5 linked regions of the Xenopus tropicalis genome follow. The protein of the gene in region 1 interacts with the protein of each later gene in a biochemical or structural test. Links are inferred from orthologs where the notes say so. Each region holds a gene or a part of one and is shown in the gene's direction. Other genes may lie near its edges. The genes, in order: ncoa6, thrb, rara, thra and tgs1.

Region 1 (3,973 bases):
CCATTCCTGCACTGGTACAGCTGGGGTGTTTGCTACAGAAACCCTACTATAGTTTATATAAATACCCCGCTGTGTAGCCCCGGGGGCAGCCATTCCTGCACTGGTACAGCTGGGGTGTTTGCTACAGAAACCCTACTATAGTTTATATAAATACCCCGCTGTGTAGCCCCGGGGGCAGCCATTCCTGCACTGGTACAGCTGGGGTGTTTGCTACAGAAACCCTACTATAGTTTATATAAATACCCCGCTGTGTAGCCCGGGGGCAGACATTCAAGCTGGAAAAAAGGAGAAAAGGCACAGGTTACATAGCGAATAACAGATAAGCTCTGTAGAATATAATGGGGCTTTATCTGTTATCTGCTATGAGCCTCTGCCTTTTCTCCTTTAGGGCTCTGGCACACGGGGAGATTAGTCGCCCGCGACAAATCTCCCTGTTCGCGGGCGACTAATCTCCCCGAGTTGCCATCCCACCGGCGAACATGTAAGTCGCCGGTGGCACACGCGGCGGCGCGATTTCGGCAAATGCAGTACATTATATCTTAATTATTTTTATACACTTTCATTTCTTGGTGTTACTGTTCCTTTAAGAGCTATAACTCTCAGCATTCCTTCATGCCGTTTGCTGGATCTATTAACCAGAAACCCATCTCTGGAATGTTTTACAACATGTGCTGTTTCACACAGAGCCCTATGGTTGCAAAAATGTTTCAATAATTTTTCTCTCTGAAATAATAAAGCAGAACAATAAACTTCAAAGAAAATAATCTGCATAAATCCATTTTGGTGGTTTTTTTTAAAAAAAAATGTCTTTTTTAGCAGCCTTAAAAAAAAAACCACCAGAAAGGACCCTTATCCATAAAAGCCAACTTCCCAAGCCTGAAGGCTGTATTAGCAGAACATCCCAAGCGCTAAACTATAAAACATCCCTAAAGCTGTGGGACAGGTGTCTCTGTCCCTGTCATGGAGGTCAGACGGTGTCAGCATCCCCTCCACACTGAAACACTTCCTTTCATTGCGCACAACCTCGCCCATTTTCTGGCAAGTCCCGCCCACTTTCTGGCAAGCCGTAGCCCTGCCTAGCACGGAACTACCCCCGTACTCCTCTCCTGGGCTCAGCCGCACTGACGTCACGCCTCTCGCCAATCCATTGGTCGGGCGGACTCTACCATTTTGACAGGGGTGTACGCAAGCGCGGCTTCCTTGCAGTTTAGTGCTTATTGTGAGGTCAACACCCCCCTGCCGCTTGCAGCTAGTGGTACGGGCTGGGCCTCGTTGCTGTTCGTTGTTCCCGGGAGCGGAAGGAACCAAGTGTCCGGTGCGAGGTGAGGGGGGTGCACAATAATGAGAATGGGTATGTTTGTTATATGCATGCATAACTGGGCCTGTATGGCGAAATGTAAACATTGTAACTGTGCATTTGGTCTTATATCTGCCATTAACACCTATTCGTACCTACTGGGTAGCTGGAGTCCTATGCACTGCAAATGTCTGCTTGCATAATAGACAGTGTGTGTAATGAAGGCATTTTACTTACCCTTTAATGTTTCTTTATAGTGGGATTTAGGTACTGTGGGGCTGCACTAGCCCTTATGTTACAACCCTCTAGTGTAATTTATATTTGATATTGACATCCATCATATAGATATAGGCATTATGGTTGAACGTGATGGACGTATGTCTTTTTTCAACCCAACTTACTATGTTACTATCATTAGGGTGTGCTTATTTACAAGGACATATTTAACTGTAAGCCCCATCAGCATTGTGATATAAGTGAGATATAAGGACCCAGTGGCTTTATTAATGTCCCCCCTATCCTATCCTTTTCACCCTGTGGCTGGTGAGGGCTGCTGGGATATGCAGCAAAGGGTTGGGTGCTGTTTATAGGGCTAGAGCATCAGGCTTTACACCACATATTGCTTAATAAAGTGCTGCATAACGTGTTGGCGCTTTATAAGTAAATGATGATGATGTCTCCAGATCCATAGAAGTGGCAGGTATAGAAGGTCCCACCAATTTGCCTTCCCTCTTTCAGTGCTACGGGGGCTGTGAGTGACCAGTTATGGACTTGATAAGAAGGTAGGCAGCAGGCACATCTTTGCTAAACTATATAATAATGGTGCTTAGTTGTCACCCCTGTGTCATCAGGTAGATAATGACCCAGGCCTGGGTTTATTTAACCTTCTTCTCCTTTACAACAATGGCAAGTTTACAGATTTATGAAAACGTTCATCCTGCGATTGTTCCAAGAATGGCTAGGAACTTATGTTGCTCAACATCATGGTCTTCAAGGAATATCTAAGCCAATCATCATGCATCCCCAGTCTCACCCAAACTGCCCTTTAGGCTGGGCAAGGCAGGGGCTAATGTGATGAGCTGGTATAGTTACTGATGTACTGATATTAGGTTTTAGTTTGAGGATTTGGAAGAAGTCAAAGCATTAAGTATCTTAAAGAGGTGAAATATTAAATATAAGAAGGTTGCTAGGCTAGGGCTGGAGGGGGTCGATATGACAATAACGAGACACGACTAAGGCAAAGTTGATGCACTCTGAATTGTACAAGTATTTGAATTGCATTTATAAATATTTGTCATTTCAGTTCACATCCATAGCCAACAGCATATGCTTACGTACCAATGACTAGCATATGTTTAGCCAGTGATGTTGTAAGCTCAGAGTGCCTTCAGTGAAGGTCGTCCTATCCTCAGAATATACCAAAAAGTCTTTCCTTTTGTTTTTCTCCCAAATACCCTTGAGATAACTGGTTATCTGGACATGCATGCTATGATCTGCTTGTTTAGCGCTAACCCCATGGATATTTGTCCAAATCACATGATTAGTCTCCGCCTGGGTAATGTTGAGGCCTGTATAGACCTATTGGGAATGGACCAAGGTGGTCAGTTTTTTCAGCTAACCCAGTTAATATCTGTCTGTCTGGCCAAATTGCATAATACTCAGTGGCCATTGTTTAAACACTAAGGGCAGTGCAATTTACAGCTGAGATGGAAGGGGGAAGCAATTAGCCCTCCATAGACTTTTGTGGTTATCACCAGTGAAGGGGGGGGTAAATTTTTTTCTTCACTCGTATCTAAGTTATTTATAATTTTCTCAACAGGCTAACAAATTGGAGATCCTGGTAGTGGAAATAACTGAAGATGCCTGCCTCTGCCATTCATCTGACAAAATCAGACGGTGTAGAAACGTAGGAAAAGGGAAGAACTTGGAACATTATTGGTAAGGGAACTGCAAATCCAGGTTGTACGTTTGTACATTTATTTTTTATAGATATGAGCTCTGACATTTTGTGTGTTGTGTTTTTTTGACTCCTCAACAGAGTGTCATTGTCACAGAGTTGGAAGACACACGGTCATGGCCTCCCACTACCTTCCTGACCCAGGAGAGCCCCAGACCAGACCTCCTGCGTCCCCTTCACAACCGCAAGATGGAGACACCGACTCCGGAATAGAAGATGAGCTCAGATTAGAAGAAGCAGACTCTACCATTTTCTTGGCTTTCAAGGGAGATATTGGAGACACTGATTTCCAGCAAAAGCTAGACAAGATTTTGAATACTGTTCCAAGCCTCGTTAGCATGGGTATAGTAATCAACTTATTCAGGGGCATGGGGGGTGGGGGGGGCAAATACATGATCTCCCTGGGTTTCCCTGTGCTAGTCGGTAACATGCAAACAAACTCATTCAAATTGCATGTCCTCCCTGTGTAGAGTCCGACCAGCTGAGAGTTCAGAAGGTGGAGCCATGGAACAGCGTCAGGGTAACGTTCAACATCCCAAGGGAAGCGGCTGAGCGGCTGCGCCTCCTCGCTCAGAGTAACAACCAGCAACTACGGGACCTAGGAATTCTGTCTGTCCAAATTGAAGGTATAACCGTATTGCTTCTGCCCTTGTTTTTTGTCTTTTTATAATTGGTCCTTTGCATATTTCCTTACGCTGAAATATATTTTAGGGGAAGGT
Region 2 (3,960 bases), on another chromosome or scaffold:
AATTTAATGAATGTGAGTACACAAAGTTTTAACTATCATTTATTTCACTGTTCTAATTTCGCCACCCAGTGAGCCAAATATCCTGTTTGCCAAATGTACAGAATTAAAACTGTTTAAAATTTGTGGTATAATATAAAAGTAGTTTCAGAGTCTTTCAGTAGCCAAAAAGGGCAATAAATGTGAAGGACTGCATGTGTCCTGTAAACCTCCAGCTGGGCATCAGTGACAAGTTTTTGAAATTCAGTGTGGCCTATTTAGAAAAATTCTAATTTGTGATTTTTTTTCACATTATTAAGCAATCAAGTTTTTGAGATTCAGGTTTTTTTAATTAATAAGCACACATCCAAGTTTTTTCCAATTAATTAAAACTAACCAAACTCGATCTTATGCTTATTGATTAAAAAACCTGAATCTTAAAAACCTGATTGCTTATAAACATGACAAAAAGTTTGCATTCTACAACAACATTTTATGTAAATAAGCCACTTCCTACTGGCTATGTTCATAATTCTACCAATACAGTGATAAACAACACTTACCATTTATTTATCTGTATTTTTATTTCTATAGCTGTAACATGTGAGTTAGACACTCAAGAGACAGTCAAGCAGTGAAAAGGGACATTTTTAAACTTTGACCTTGCTAATTTATTAGACATAAACAGGAGGTGATTAGTCAACATTTTAAATTTCTTCTATATAAGTATAAATAGACAAACAATGCATTTCACAGGCTGTTCAAACCAAGCACAATGTTCAGTTGTAGCAAAGCTGGCACATAAATGGCAATCAATACTTGAAGATCTGTGCCTAACAAGCAGTTAATGCTGTAACACCAAATCAATATGATCAATACAACTAAACAGCAGATTAAGATGCTAACACGTTTACCTTTTATGTTCTGTTATGGGTCATCTAGGTTCTGCTATTGGAAATCTAAAGGGATATAGTTAGATTCTGGATTATTGATTTTAGGATTTACCATAGCCCTATGTCTTTGTTAGGCTTTTCCCGTTGGTTGTCAAATAAACTATAAGCACTCGTATGTCACCATGACAGAATGAATAGAAGTTTGCAAAGTTCTTGTAAAATCTTAATTCAGCATAAGATTGGTGTCAAGCTTGCCTTGTGTTCTGCCTCTAATGCGCTCTGCTACCTGTCTGTGCTACCATCTTTACCAGGATTTAGCCTGCAGATTAGGACCTTAAACTGTCATAAATCTCTTTTCCAACATGTTTGGCTGCTGGAGTTGCTCAGAAGCATCCCAGATATAAATAGGATCTTAGTACACAAGGTGCTGCTTCAAGGAGAATCACAGTGTTTTGAGTCAGCTTTTAGTGCCCGTTGTATATTCATTGCTCCATTCCTGGTTCTATGTCTATGCATGCAGGTGGCTGTTGTGTATACGTAAGGTAGAACTTTAGCTCGCATAGCAAAATGAACTATTGCATGCAAGAATTCTATGATGTGCACCAGGCTGCTGCTAACAACTGCTGCATGCAGCCTCCTGATTATTGCACGTATATTGAAGATAGTCAGAGCTACAGCAGTTCTGAGGCTCAGGTCCTACACAACAATAACATATATATGGAACAGGCCTGGGCGGTGAATCAACCTTATACCTGTAGTTACCCTGGAAACATGTTTAAAAGCGAGTACTCTGAAATGGACATGGCCCTGAATCAGTACAGCCAACCCGAGTATTTCACTGAAGAAAAAACTACTTTTCCACAAAGGCAGTCTCCGATGTACTCGCAGAAAAAAGGTAGGGGCAATTTTATACCGGGCTTCTTTCTTTTTTTCTATAATTTCGAAGAGCAGTTACCTTTGTGCATGTGCATTCACCTCCAGCGCTGTATAAGGTCGGAAAAGTTGCAGGTTTTTAATACACATTTTTATTTTTAAGCTTGTTTCTAATCAACCCAAAGCCGTGATCCAGGTTGCTAGGAGATTAAATGTTTTCTTCCTCCAGGCAATGGGAATTTTATACTTTTTATTTTTATCTTGCATTCTGTTTTCTTCTTATTTGTAGGGTACCCCCACCCCATGTAATTAGGCATCCTTTATAATAACCCTGCAAGGATGTGCTTTGTGCCATGCCGGAGTACAGTCCCATTGTTTTCTAGCTGTTTATCTTGCCTTTCTTTGTTTGTGAAATCTGTAGCCACGACCTGCAGATTTGGGCACCGTATCAGCATGAAAAGGGACATAATTTCTTGTCTTCAAATAAAGCAAGGTTCAGTTATTGGCAGTGAGCAGCAGCCTGTCCTTATCTATGTACAGACAACATTGATGGCAGCTAATCTTCAGCCTGTTGCATTTATTTGAGATTAACCCTGATATTACAGTAGTACAGCACAATCTAACTAGCTACATTGCAGTAATGCAGGCTATTTCTTATACTTCATTTACCAGTTAGAATTGTACTTTAACTTTTTACTGCAAGCATTGTTTTGATTTGGCATGACGCTCCCCTTCCTGCTGCTATCTTCAGTCAAAAATGTTCATTATACCATTCCTACCTATATGGTTTTTTTTAGCAGCAACAGGTACTTTGTGCATTCTCTTATTTCGCTTCAGGGATTTGTGGCACATCAGTAGAGTATAAATAGTGTCCGTGACTCACAAACTGAGCTGATTGTACAGTTTAATATATAATATACTCATAGACCAGGCTGTGGCTTTATTTATTAGAGACTGGGGTGCCCACAGATTTCACCTAAAAGTTCTCTAGAAAGCCTATAGAATTGAATGGGGCAGAATTATTTTGCTGTGAATTTTGTGGTGAGTTGTCTGTGTCCATAGATAGATATGCCCCTGATTTTATTATCCATTTATTTTCATTAATATATGTTTTCTATGATTTTATTTTCTCGATTCATTGTTTTACACCACTGTGCATAGCATTTTTAACTATTAAACAATTTATTTTTTGTACTGTAACAACAATTCTATATATATGATATAGGGGCTATGTTTTTTCTTTTACATTTAGCTTTAAATGTAGTTGTATATATATATATATATTCTATACATTTTTCCTATTTTTGTAATTTATATTTTTCATCAGCTTAGCCAAAGCCACTAATTAATAGTTCCTTTTTCACATATTGCCTAATAAGATTTGATAGAAATGTTTTTTTTTTCAACTTGTTTTAAAAAATATGAATACAATTTTATTATTTAACTACTTAACATTAAATGTATATTAGTAAGTGTAAATTCGTGGCATCTGATAATTTATCTTTGCATTTGTATATTATTTTTTACCTTGCCTCCTAGGTTCAAGGATACAACAAGTTTTTTACCAAGATATATTTTTTAAACGCCTGTTTATTGAATTTTCTATAAAATTCAATTAACCCTAGGACAGAAGGTTCCACAAAGGACATGCTTGGGCTTATTGATCAAAATTGATTTGAATTTAATGAAGACTCTATAACAACTCATTAAATACAATTAAGAAAAAGAACAGGTGTCCCATTTCAACCTTTATTATTGAAGCTGTGTCTTACACTCAGAAAATGTAATACTGATTGTTTGAATGTAATGGCTAGACAGTTCAATATGTTTCCAGTAAGAACTGAACTGTTCTTCTGTTAGGTGAAAATATAGTTTAATGTAAAATTAGATATCTTATTTACTGGATACTACCATATTTATTCACAATTTCAGAAGAAATTTATCTTAATTTTGTATTCCCTTTTCTCCTGTTATAAAGCAAGGTTTTCACTTTTTCTACCTATCATACAGCATTGGAAGTAGCCATGATCAAGTCTTTAACATGTTGAATGCTCACATTTGTCATCCATAATATACACAGCGGCATGGGTTGCCATGTCCTCCTTTAATTACTGGCATTATGACATACTTAAAGCAGGGCTTCCAAAGCTCTAGCACAATTCTTTATATTTCATTTTCTTCAAATGGTCAGCAGATAAAGGTATGAGGTTGCCAACCT
Region 3 (4,190 bases), about 32 Mb from region 1:
CGACCAATCACCATGGTACGGAAAGTATCGGGACAATAATTCTGAGGCCACACATGGTCCGAAAATCGTATGAAGATTGTATTGATAGGTGTATGGCCAGCTTAACCCTCATACAGGCATCTTGGTGGCTCCTACCTGCTGTAGTTGGCCACCATTGTCAGTTGCTCAGGTGATAATTACCCCAAAACCCTCGCTGCCCCCTGGGAAGGGCGTCCCACAGTGCTTACATTCCATGGCCCATAGCAGGGACCCAAGTTGTAGCAGTCAGTGATTTTTATTTTTATTTTTTTTGGGGGAAAAAAAAACTTGTCAGGCCAAAATCAGAATAAGTTATAAAGCCACTGGTGTTGGGCTGGTGTGGGGGTATATACACTCATTTGTATTTATTAGCAGGAGCCTGCCATACTAGTACTGGGGGGGGGAGGGGTCAGTTGATTCCCAAATATGCGGGGGGGGGGGGGGGGAAATGTCTGTGATGTCACTGTGAGAGAAGGAGACGGTTGGGTCGTTTGGAGGTGAGGCGAGAGGGTCACTGAGAGGTCACATGCATGATATTAGGCAAATGAGGGGGGTATTGAAGGGGGGGGTTGGGGTATTTAGATCATGGCAGGAATACACAGGAAGGTGGGAAATGGGCAGGGCAGGCTTTGTTGTGATTGAGCTGTGCCCCCAGTGGCATGCAATGGGTTAAAAGATAGGGGGTGTTGACTTGCGAGGCTCAGCTGCCTCCAGTCCATCAGGAGGGGGAGGAGGCAGGAGGAGACACGGCTGTAGAGTTTGCAGCATTGAGCGGTGTGTGTGTGTCACGGGGATCAGTCCTGAGAGGAACAGTATTCCCCCAATGCGCCTCGGCCCATTACAGGAGAGCAGGGAAGCCCCTCCGCCGCGTTACCAGGAAACCGGGCATCCCCATTCTGCATGGAGCCTCCATTCTGCCTAGTAACCCACATACCCAGGGAAGCCTGCAGGAATACCTCCGTCTGACCAGGGATCCTTCAGTCTGTGGCACCGGTCGCCCCTGGGGGTGCAAGGATAACCGTCCCCATTAGCATTGATCCTAACAAGGAGCCCGTTGTGCTAACAAGGAGATCCCACACAGGAAGTTGTGCAGATTCTGCAGCAGGAGAAGTTGACTGGGGGTCCATAGAGAGACCTTCCATTACAGGGCAACCCCCTTCCCCCTGCTGAGAAGAATTGCCCCTTATCTCACACTATCTGCCTGCAAGGACTCCAGCTGCCCCTGTAGGGATTGGGAGCTGATCCCCAACAGATTTGGCCTAATTAAGACTTATAGGTAAGGGATCGACATGCCGGGCAACCCTTTTAATCCCCTGCCACTCTCCCTGATCCCCAGCCAAACTGGGTGCCCCCCAAATTAAGTGGTTCGGAGTGGGGGTTCTGCCCCCGTTGTGCTGTGCCAGGGATTCCATGACTTCAGCCGGAAGAACAACAGATTGAGAAGCAAAAAATTGGGCTACGCTGCAGCATGATGGAAAGGGCATGTAGGGTTCTGGGACACAAGGAAAGGCTCTGCACGGACCACCCTATATGCAGCTAGTGGGGTTCACGTTTTACACCCAGGACTCCCCCCCCAGTTCCAGTTATTTGATGGAATCCGTGCGGAGAGTCTCCCATGTGATATTCCCAGCGGATCTGCCTGCAGAAGCCCATCCCTGCATTTCCCACCGACTTGGAGAATCTCCAATGGCTCTGCTGTGGGATTCCTCCTAAGTCCATAACAATTTCCTACCGGATCTTTGGGGTTTTTCCCCCCCTATTACCCTAAAAATTCCAATTCAACCCCAGACTGCTGAATTCTCTTCCACCCCCCCATTTTTTTTTTTCTTTTCTTTTTGTTATATGGTGAATTTGGAAGGGATTGTAGGATGTACGAGAATGTGGACGTTCCTGGTTTGGGCACTAGCCCGACGCACTACCATATGATGGATTTCTATAGCCAGAACCGGGCTTGCCTATTGCAGGAGAAAGGACTCGGGACCATGCATCCCTACGGGACGCCACTTCGAAGTCAACACTGGAGCAGTTCCAACCACTGTACGTAGGTGATACCCTCTCCACAATCCCCGTCCCTTGTACCGCGGCGGTGCCGCTCGCGCCTGGCTTATTGTTCTTATTTTATTATCAATTTGACAATTTTATTGCCCATTATTCTCGTAGAAGACATCTGTAATTGTGGCACGTTAATGCCTATGTCCAGATGCGCCGCGGCAACATCTGTACGGATAATGCTCTGTATAAATAATCCCAATCTATAACGTGCGCCGAACAATAGTCTCTTTGCGCCGCTCGTAGAGTTGGATTATCCGTCTGTCCTAATGGGAAGATCTTTGTTTTGCTGTTTGTCCTGCAGTGGAGACAATGGCAAACAAATTCTTTCTAGACTGTTGTGGGTGGGACTGTCTCTAGACCATGACAAGATAACCTCATTTACCGCTAGTAGAACGTTCTAGCCGGAGACCGTTTCCCTATACGGGGGCTGTTAGTAACGCAGGGAACTTACTGCTAGATAAGCGTTTAGGCCTCAATTGCGCTCGGATTGAAATGAATATTTTTTTTAATATCGCCAGTATAATAACAATAGCATCATATCTGGGCTATGCAGTATTCTCAGAGTAGCGCTTTATCCACAAACCTATGGGGGTTCTTCTGTTATGGAACTACAACTCCCAGCATGCCCTTACAAGCTTCACTTGTACAGGTCTAGTTCCTGTGTTACATTGCCTCTGGCTATTATTGGGTGAATGCAACTTAATGAGGGTAATGGAAATAAATGACAAATTATGTGTTTTGCATTTTCATGCCGAGCCGCGCTGTATCGTTTCAAAGCGGTTTATTTTCGTAAATGAATTTGGGCCCTGTCTTTGTAACGGTTCCGTGAGCGAGGAATGGGCCTCTGGGCCCACAATCCAGTTTGATAGTAATTAAGTCACCATTCCTGTCTCTCTGTAACTCTCGGGGCATAGGGGCAAAACTCAATGTAGTAATAACAATATCCTGCATAATACTATTTGATACAAACACTTAGGGTGAAGACACACTGGGCTACTTAGTAGCAGCTACTTGTCACGGCTACTAAACTCCAGAAAATCCCCTGCCATAGACAATACTGAGAATTGCCTCTGCTAAAGCACAAGTAGAGACAGTTATCAGTAAATGATCAGCATTGTCTGTTTCTGTCGCTGTGACAAGTAGCTGCTACTAAGTAGCTCTGTGTGTCTTCACCCTAAAACGTGGCTCCACTTAACTCTTCCTTTACCCCTCTGTGTAAAAAAGTATAGCCGGATATGCTGGTGGGCAGCAGTCGGATAACAATGTGGCTGCAGTGTATGGTATGGAGCATTAAAGGGCAACTGCACCCAAAAACTGTTTCGATAATGTAATCCTAAGCAACTTGCCGATATAAATTCATTATACATTCTAGTGGTTTTTTGTAATTGATAAATGAAATCAAAGCAGCATTTGGGCCTTCCTGTCCTCTGGGACTCTCACATGTAGCAGAAGTCCAGCCTCCTCCGGGGTATCCCTGCATTGTTTCAGTAGTCAGAACCAGCAGTGCAGCCAGATTGTGAAACCTTTTCATTACAGGGGTAGTTAACTCTGTTACAGAGTGGCCTATTCTTTGCAACTTTTTAGTTGGTCTTCATTTTTATTTTGTATAGTTTTTTAATTATTTGCTCCTTCTTCTGCCTCTTTCCAGCTTTCAAATGGGGGTCACTGACCCCGGCAGCCAAAAACCTATTGCTCTGTGAGGCTCCAGTTTTATTGTTATTGTTACTTTGTATTACTTACATTTCTATGTAGGCCCTCCTCTATCATATCTCTGTCTCTCTTTCAATCCACTGCCTGGTTGCTAGGTTAAATTGGACCCCAGCAACCGGATAGCTGCTGGACATACCAAACTGGAGAGTTGCCACTTAAAAACCTAAATAATAAAAAAAATAAAAGACCAACTGCAAATTAACTCAGAATAGTACTCTCTACATTGCACCAAAAGTTAATATAAAGGTGAACTGCCCCTTAATTGTATTTTTAATGCGGGCCGTGTATATGACTATTAGATTAATACAGTGGAGAATTAAAGGCACAGTGTAGCCAATACGCTCACGTCAGCACTAAAGTTTATTATGGTTACTTGTCCTTGATTTTGTGGGTTTGTGGTAGTATTTTGG
Region 4 (3,515 bases), about 32 Mb from region 1:
AATAAACCAGACCAAAAATGGAGACATTTTGCTTATTTATTCAGCACTAAATATTCCTGCATGAAGTATGCAAACCCTTCGTTCAGCAACCGGTGGCACCTTGTAGAGCAGCAGGAACTTCAAATAAACATTTCCTTCAGCGTTTCATCAGCGTCTTCCATAGGCCTGGGGGAATTTAGGCCCATTCTTCCCAAAAGAAACAGTTTCGGGTCAACTATGGTGGCTGGGTCGCCATGTACGCCAGTCTGGTCTATAATACTGTGTGGTTACCCTTGCATACAGCATTCCACTTACACTTCTCATTATGATCAGGGTGTTTTTATGACTTTGCATACAAATCCATGGGGAGAAACCCACTGACATGGCAACCAACAATGGGGTCATGGAGGAAATCAGGTAGCACTTATCCTTTCTCAAGCCTTCGGATGAATGTCTGATGAGTTCCCATTTATACTTATAGGCTTCAGTTTTTTATTGCGCATTTATTGAAGCACCACATGATTATCTAATCATACGCTGTATCCATGGCTTTAAAACAAGAGCTTCTCTTCCATTTTTGCACTGATTTCTTTATTAAGTTGCTAGTTTGTGCCTGAATATCAGGAGGAGCCCTAGTTGGCCCAATCCAGCACTGCTCTGAACATCTTAACGGAGACATATAGTATAACTGTAAACCCCTCCAAGCTTGTAGGCAATAATGAATTATAAGTGGTGCCAGTTTTACTAAATATTATCCTCTCTGGTCCCTGTGAGTGTTCCAAATAAGAGGTGGATGAGTCCTAATTGTCCATGCTAGAAGCACAGTAGGAGAGGGATAGCCAATCACAGCCCTCCAGTCACCCAGGGAAAGACGGGCTTCAGTTCTCTATCAGGTCAGCCTAGCTGCTGATTGGTTCCTATCCTACAGGGCAGTGTGCTGAGTGCCGCCGGCCCCCCTGCACAGCCTGGGAAAGGAAGTGGATGGAAGTGGGACAGATGGGCAGGGCTAGTAGGGTTTGGGGGGGTTATTTCAATAAATCAACCCAAAACGCTACTTTTCTCACCATGTTTAGAGGAATATAATGCCCAGGCACATTCTTAATTTCCACACAGTATGTCTCCTTCAATGTCCATGCTCACAGAGTTCTCACCCTCTGCCTTTTTTCCCCTCTTTCTCTCATTTTTCAATATCAGTCCTTATACATTCCTGTTTCACACTGGAATCTGTCTATTTTTTTATGTTGGCTTGCCTTTGTTTCCTTGAGTCTATTATGTTTTTCTCCTCATCCGTTTAATTCTGTTCACCTTCACCTCTTTTATTCTCACTGCTCTCCCTGTCTGTCTCTCTCCATCTCCCCAGTTGTCCTGGATGATACCAAGCGGGTAGCCAAGCGAAAACTGATTGAAGAGAATCGAGAGCGGCGGCGGAAGGAGGAGATGATCAAGACTCTGCAACAGCGTCCAGAGCCCAGCAAAGAGGAGTGGGAGTTGATTCGCATCGTAACAGAAGCTCACAGGAGCACCAACGCTCAGGGCAGCCACTGGAAACAGCGTAGGAAGTTTCTGGTGAGGCTGATGAAGAATTCAATGTAGTACAGTAGATATATGGCGGCCATCGTTCTGGGCCGCAGAGCCATGGGTGGAGTTTTAAGTTGGAGCAGCTTGGGAGCTATTCATAAATTAAAAATGAGACCATATGGAGTTGGTCATAATTACAGGAAACAGACGTGTCTAACAATGGAAAGTGTTTCAGTAAGAGCAGGCAAACTGCAGGGATATATATAATGTTAATGTTTGGGAGAGGTATAGGAGAGCTTATATAGAGCACCTAGACAGCTGTTTATTGATTCTGGTACCCTAATACCTTTGATTTCCCCTCCGTGCTCCCCTTGAACAGTCCAACGGGGAGCGGCGATGCACAGCTATGTAGTAAAGTAGCCTTTGCAGGATACAGCAGGGAATCCCTGGGATTTCCGTAAGGGAACTTCCTGTGCAGATGGAGAAGCTGTGACCCCTTGGAGAGAGCAAGCAGCATCTGTTGCCCTCCAGCTCGTGCCCCCTGCCCCAGCGCCGGGGTTTCCAAAGAGTTTGCCTAGACTTCAACATAGGTCAGCACGCAGATGGCAATGTAGAAAGCAAGTTTAGTGCATTGTCAAAGGCACCGTCTGGTCTGTGTGTGCAGAATAATGGTGCAGTCTTCCTTATTTTTTATTGTAGCCATATATTTCTGCCCCAAATTTGTATTCCCCTGTCCTTTAGTGCAGTTGGGGTAGATACACACTGCACCCTCTATGCTGCCCAGCAAGGGGGTACTTGTGCCTTTCACTCTCTCTGCAGCAGAGCAGTATGGCATCCATGCCTATAAGTGCTGCATTGAAATCTGTCATCAGTACCCTGTAATTAGTGTTGTGTTAATTAGTATATGTTCCTCTCTGCAGCAATGCAGCCTGCTATTAACCCCTGTATATATGCTACTGGTGTCATTATCTGTGTGTAATAGGGAATTGTACCAGTGTGCTGCAGCACAGATCTGTGCCCTTTATGCTCTTTATTTGTGTAGCAAAGTCTTTGCTTCTTGCCAAATGCAACAGTGCCTCCTCTTATTTTTCTTTCTGTACAGCAGTGCATAATCATGCCTGCCCTGAGTGATTTCCTTCTATTCTGCTCCAATATATGTCTGATTCCTTTATAGTGTCTCTGTGTTCACTCATGCCTCAGTGTTCAGCAGTCAGTTTGGGTCCCCAGCTTCGGCACTTAGCCATACGGTTTTGGTATGGGTGCTTAGAAGTCTGTTGGCCTATGTGTTCTTCAGTACATTTTTGGTACCAATGCCTTTTGGGGTACCCATGCTTCAGTGCTCATCAGTAAATCAGTACACCCATGCCCTGGTGTTTAGTAGTCTGTTTTGGTACTTAGCGGTGTAGCACCCAAGCTTTAGTGTTTAGTAGTACATTTCTAATGCTCATTCCTTGGCACTTAGCATTCCATTAGGGTGGCCCTCCCTCAGTGCTTAGCAGTAGATTACTGGTACCTATTCCTCAGTTTATAGCAGCCTGCCCTGGTAGCCAAGCCTCAGTGCTTATTATTCCATTTTGATACTTAGCAGTCGGGTACCCATGCTTTAGTGCTTAGAAGTACATTTATAAAACCTATTCCTTGGCACTTAGCAGTCCGTTTTGTTACTCATCCCTCAGTTCTTAGCGGTTCCTATTCCTTGGTACATATTAGCACAATCTGGTACCCATCTCCCTCCCTGTGTATAGCCCTGCCTTCTATAACCTGCGCCTGTGTATAGCCCTGCCTTCTGTTACCTGTGCCTGTGTATAGCCCTGCCTTCTGTTACCTGCGCCTGTGTATAGCCCTGCCTTCTGTTACCTGTGCCTGTGTATAGCCCTGCTTTCTATAACCTGTGCCTGTGTATAGCCCTGCCTTCTATAACCTGTGCCTGTGTATAGCCCTGCCTTCTATAACCTGTGCCTGTGTATAGCCCTGCCTTCTGTTACCTGCGCCTGTGTATAGCCCTGCCTTCTGTTACC
Region 5 (3,515 bases), on another chromosome or scaffold:
ATTCCGGTCTTGTTTGACTAACGTTCACTCAAATTTGTATGCTGACTTTTTTTTGGTAGAGGTCTACCAGATGTCAAATAGCGGCTTGCAAAATACATTAGTGAGCATCCCATATCCTAAATGATATAATAGTTTTGCTAGCTGCAGACATTAAGCACTTTTACGTAGGAAAAAACCATATTCAAATATTGGTACAAAAGAAATCATATATAATTTTTTTTTTTTTTTATGCACCAGTAAATTACATTAAATATAATATGCCCTTACGTTCATGAATAGGGTTATGTACATAACTTGAGTTGGGTCTACACTTTCTTTGACCCTCCTCCGTGATCCACATCACATATTCTACATCCGGTTACCCTAGACTGGGATGTGCTAATAAAACACTCACTCCTAATATTTTAAGAGCTAGAAATGTGATCGATGGTGGAGAGTTGTTAAACTTGAAGCAAACTTTGAGCCTTGTTCAGTTCAATTTCTTTTTACATAAAATTCTGTCATTTAGTTTGACAGAATGTATGTATGTATGTATATCTTTATAAAGCGCTACTTATGTACGCAGCGCTTAACAATGTATTGTTAACTTGTAGCCTTCCACTAGCAGGGAAATTTCTATTTAATTCTTGTTTTGTGAATGCTTCTGTCTGCAGCCATATTTAATACTGAGGAATGATATAAATTTTCTCTAGCCACTGGATTCTTGTGAAAAGGTGAATAAAATTTGGAAGAAGAGAAAGACCAAATGCAAGAGACCTTTAGCTGAGCGTATCCAAGAAGCAATAGAAGAGCTAGCCCACAACGCCAGCCATTCTTGTGAAGAAGAATTTCCTGCAGATCCTGAGCAAGCTGATATACAAGGTGGCTGTAATGTAAATCATAAGGATGTCAATACAACTGAATCATCTACTCTAAATGCACCCTCCACAGAGTCTCATGTAAAAGACAAATGGGAAGAATATTGGAATCAGTATGGCCAAGGGTTATTATGGCAGCACTGGGTTGAAAAGCATCCAGAGCTATCCTTGTCAGGAGAGCTTTGTAGCCTTGAACCCTGGAGCTCTGCTGATACCAAGGATGAATGGGATAAATGTTATAATGAATGTTACTGGAGCTATTTTGAACAGTTTCAGTACTGGTCTAATCAAGGGTGGACTTTTGATGCACCCAATGTGTCTAAAATCAGTGAAATACAATCCCAGAGTGCAGATGAAAGCAACCTTAACATCAGCCCCAGGATGTCTGCTGGAGACAGTGATTGCCTTCAGGAAGACCATTGCAAAACTCTTGTAAAATCTATGAGCAACATTAATCTTGATACAGAGGAAAGTGATCAAGGCCATCCTTCTCTAAGTGTTATTAATGAGGGCAATCAGCTGCAAACCCCAGAAAGCTTTGGAAAGCATTGTCCTGATCCTAACCAGAATGAGCCTAGTGATGGAACGGGGAAAAAGTATGCAGCATCTGGACATACAGATACAAGCCCGCCAGGTCTGTAAACTTTTTCCTAGTAGCTTTTATCAACAACAAACTTGTTTGTGATGGCAAACAAATTTGTAAGCATTCTAGCTTTGCAGCATGCGCAGTCGTCATGGGCTACAAGACCTTTGTTCAATTCCTGTATTGTCTCCGCTTATATGTCTGTATTGCTGCTGTTACTCTAGAGTACTCTATAAACGTGCTTGTGCTTTTAGCCCTATAATTATCGATAGGTAGTTAGTGTGGGATGGTGAAGTTTCTTGCTTATAGGTATTTCCTATTTTGCTTTAGTGTCTCAAAGGTCTTCAGGTTCATATTGGCGGACCAGTCCCTCAGCCATCTTGAAGGATGGAGATGAGGAAGATGATGAACCGCCTGAGTGCAAACAAGCTAAAATCAAGAGAAGGTAAAACCCTTGTTGTGTGCTTTCTTTTGCAGATGACCTTTTTTTTGTTGAAGGAAAAGCAAAATATGCTGCTTAGGACAGTAGTAAAAATGGCAATCTTGAGTGTTTTTTGTACTAATTCTGAAATTACCCCTCCACAGAGAGATGTCCTGTTGCTACTGTAAGAGAAATCTATAAATGGCTACAGTACCATAATTTCCCCTAATTTATTTGATAAGGAAAAATATTATTCCAAAATATTATTTTTATTTTTTTTTTTTTAATTTTATTTTAGATTCTAAGAATTTCCAATGCAATTTTTTTCCCCTAGGCATCTTTTCATGCCTAACAGTCAAGCACCCCAAGCCCAGGTTACGATGCACATAGATATAGCATGAGACACTACCTGGTTTCTATACGCAGCAGGGATACATACCTTTTCCCTTCAGGTTAGGGTAAGAAATCTTATTATTTTGGATTGTGATTCTTGTAAGGAATGTTTTTGACTAGGGTTCAGTTTGCAACATTTTAACTTCACATGGGCACTTTGTTTTAGTATCCAGTGGACTCTCTCCTCCTATGATACATTTGTTTTCACTCTGTCATGAGACTGTGTTTGGAACAGGGAGGAAAACGGTTCACTTTTGCACAATGAAGTTTCAATGTATTATTGGCTGTTATACTATGTATTTAATGCATTTTATCTGAGATGTTAACAGACATATTATGTATATAATGCACTTTATTTAATGTATTGTATTGGAATTTGTTTGGTTGTTCCAATATAACACCACTGTGGTTGATGAAGTATTTATTCAATTTACCAATTAACTTTGGGGATGTGGCTAATGAATTGTGTATAAATTTTTTGTGCTTTCACTGATTTTTTTTATGCTTGATAAAGGGGTTATTCTGCACCGAAACGTTACACCTCCGCAATAAAACTTTAAAGGGCTTGTTCCCTAGTTCGTAGCTCTGTGTGCCATTTGCTTTTGTTGCCAAGTTGGTTTTGGGAGGGTGCTGATCCCTCCAGCAGTGTGCACCGTTCATTATTTTGGTGAGCCAGGGCGTGCGGAAAGGGTCTCTGTTGTGCTTACTACCTGGTTTCTAAACACTAATACAAGCTGGTCAATCAGACATCCTATGCAATCTTGACAAATGTCCTTACGCATATATAAAACCTTTTTACCAGAATTTTCTTCTCTTGAACAGTGTCTTTTGTCCTTTTATTCTTTCTTAAATTGTGGGTGTCTGTTCCCTATTTATGTAGGTACTTACAATTTAGCTCCTATTTTCACTTTTAACCCCTCCCTTTCCATAAACCCGCACTGCTTCTCTACCACTTTACCATTCATTTCCCAACCCCTTTTTCTTGAACTATTCCCTTCTCTCCCCTTTATTTTGCTTTTCAATTCTCACTTGTTGGTTGTTCTCTTTGCCAGTCCCTTCTCCTTATTTTTGCTCATTTCTCCCCACTTCACAACTGATTTTCACTTCATCCAATTTTTGCTTCTTCTCGAAAACCCCTTCTCTAATTGTATTGTCTTCTTTCTCCACTACCCTCTCCTTTTTTATTTTTCATTATCTTTATGTGCTCTTTGCCTCTTAGGGTTCTGGCACACAGGGAGATTAGTTGCCCGCAATAAATCTC

What was found.
Region 2: the proteins of ncoa6 (region 1) and thrb form a complex in vitro, tested with the Homo sapiens proteins (2 studies listed by BioGRID). The link is inferred for Xenopus tropicalis from reciprocal best matches to the Homo sapiens genes NCOA6 and THRB.
Region 3: the proteins of ncoa6 (region 1) and rara form a complex in vitro, tested with the Homo sapiens proteins (3 studies listed by BioGRID). The link is inferred for Xenopus tropicalis from reciprocal best matches to the Homo sapiens genes NCOA6 and RARA.
Region 4: the proteins of ncoa6 (region 1) and thra form a complex in vitro, tested with the Homo sapiens proteins (2 studies listed by BioGRID). The link is inferred for Xenopus tropicalis from reciprocal best matches to the Homo sapiens genes NCOA6 and THRA.
Region 5: the proteins of ncoa6 (region 1) and tgs1 form a complex in vitro, tested with the Homo sapiens proteins (2 studies listed by BioGRID). The link is inferred for Xenopus tropicalis from reciprocal best matches to the Homo sapiens genes NCOA6 and TGS1.

What each region holds. Positions count from the first base shown.
Region 1 is NC_030686.2:41,065,888-41,069,860, forward strand, and holds the start of ncoa6 (nuclear receptor coactivator 6), read left to right. Parts: upstream 1-1,158; 5' UTR 1,159-1,351; intron 1,352-3,116; 5' UTR 3,117-3,235; intron 3,236-3,335; 5' UTR 3,336-3,370; coding exon 3,371-3,596; intron 3,597-3,724; coding exon 3,725-3,880; intron 3,881-3,965; coding exon 3,966-3,973. UniProt on the Homo sapiens protein: Nuclear receptor coactivator that directly binds nuclear receptors and stimulates the transcriptional activities in a hormone-dependent fashion. Coactivates expression in an agonist- and AF2-dependent manner.
Region 2 is NC_030682.2:46,716,345-46,720,304, reverse strand, and holds the start of thrb (thyroid hormone receptor beta), read left to right. Parts: upstream 1-1,155; 5' UTR 1,156-1,436; coding exon 1,437-1,764; intron 1,765-3,960.
Region 3 is NC_030686.2:8,758,065-8,762,254, reverse strand, and holds the start of rara (retinoic acid receptor alpha), read left to right. Parts: upstream 1-1,390; 5' UTR 1,391-1,886; coding exon 1,887-2,055; intron 2,056-4,190. UniProt on the Homo sapiens protein: Receptor for retinoic acid. Retinoic acid receptors bind as heterodimers to their target response elements in response to their ligands, all-trans or 9-cis retinoic acid, and regulate gene expression in various biological processes.
Region 4 is NC_030686.2:9,072,147-9,075,661, reverse strand, and holds part of thra (thyroid hormone receptor alpha), read left to right. Parts: intron 1-1,339; coding exon 1,340-1,545; intron 1,546-3,515.
Region 5 is NC_030682.2:115,602,163-115,605,677, forward strand, and holds part of tgs1 (trimethylguanosine synthase), read left to right. Parts: intron 1-692; coding exon 693-1,491; intron 1,492-1,770; coding exon 1,771-1,885; intron 1,886-3,515. UniProt on the Homo sapiens protein: Catalyzes the 2 serial methylation steps for the conversion of the 7-monomethylguanosine (m(7)G) caps of snRNAs and snoRNAs to a 2,2,7-trimethylguanosine (m(2,2,7)G) cap structure.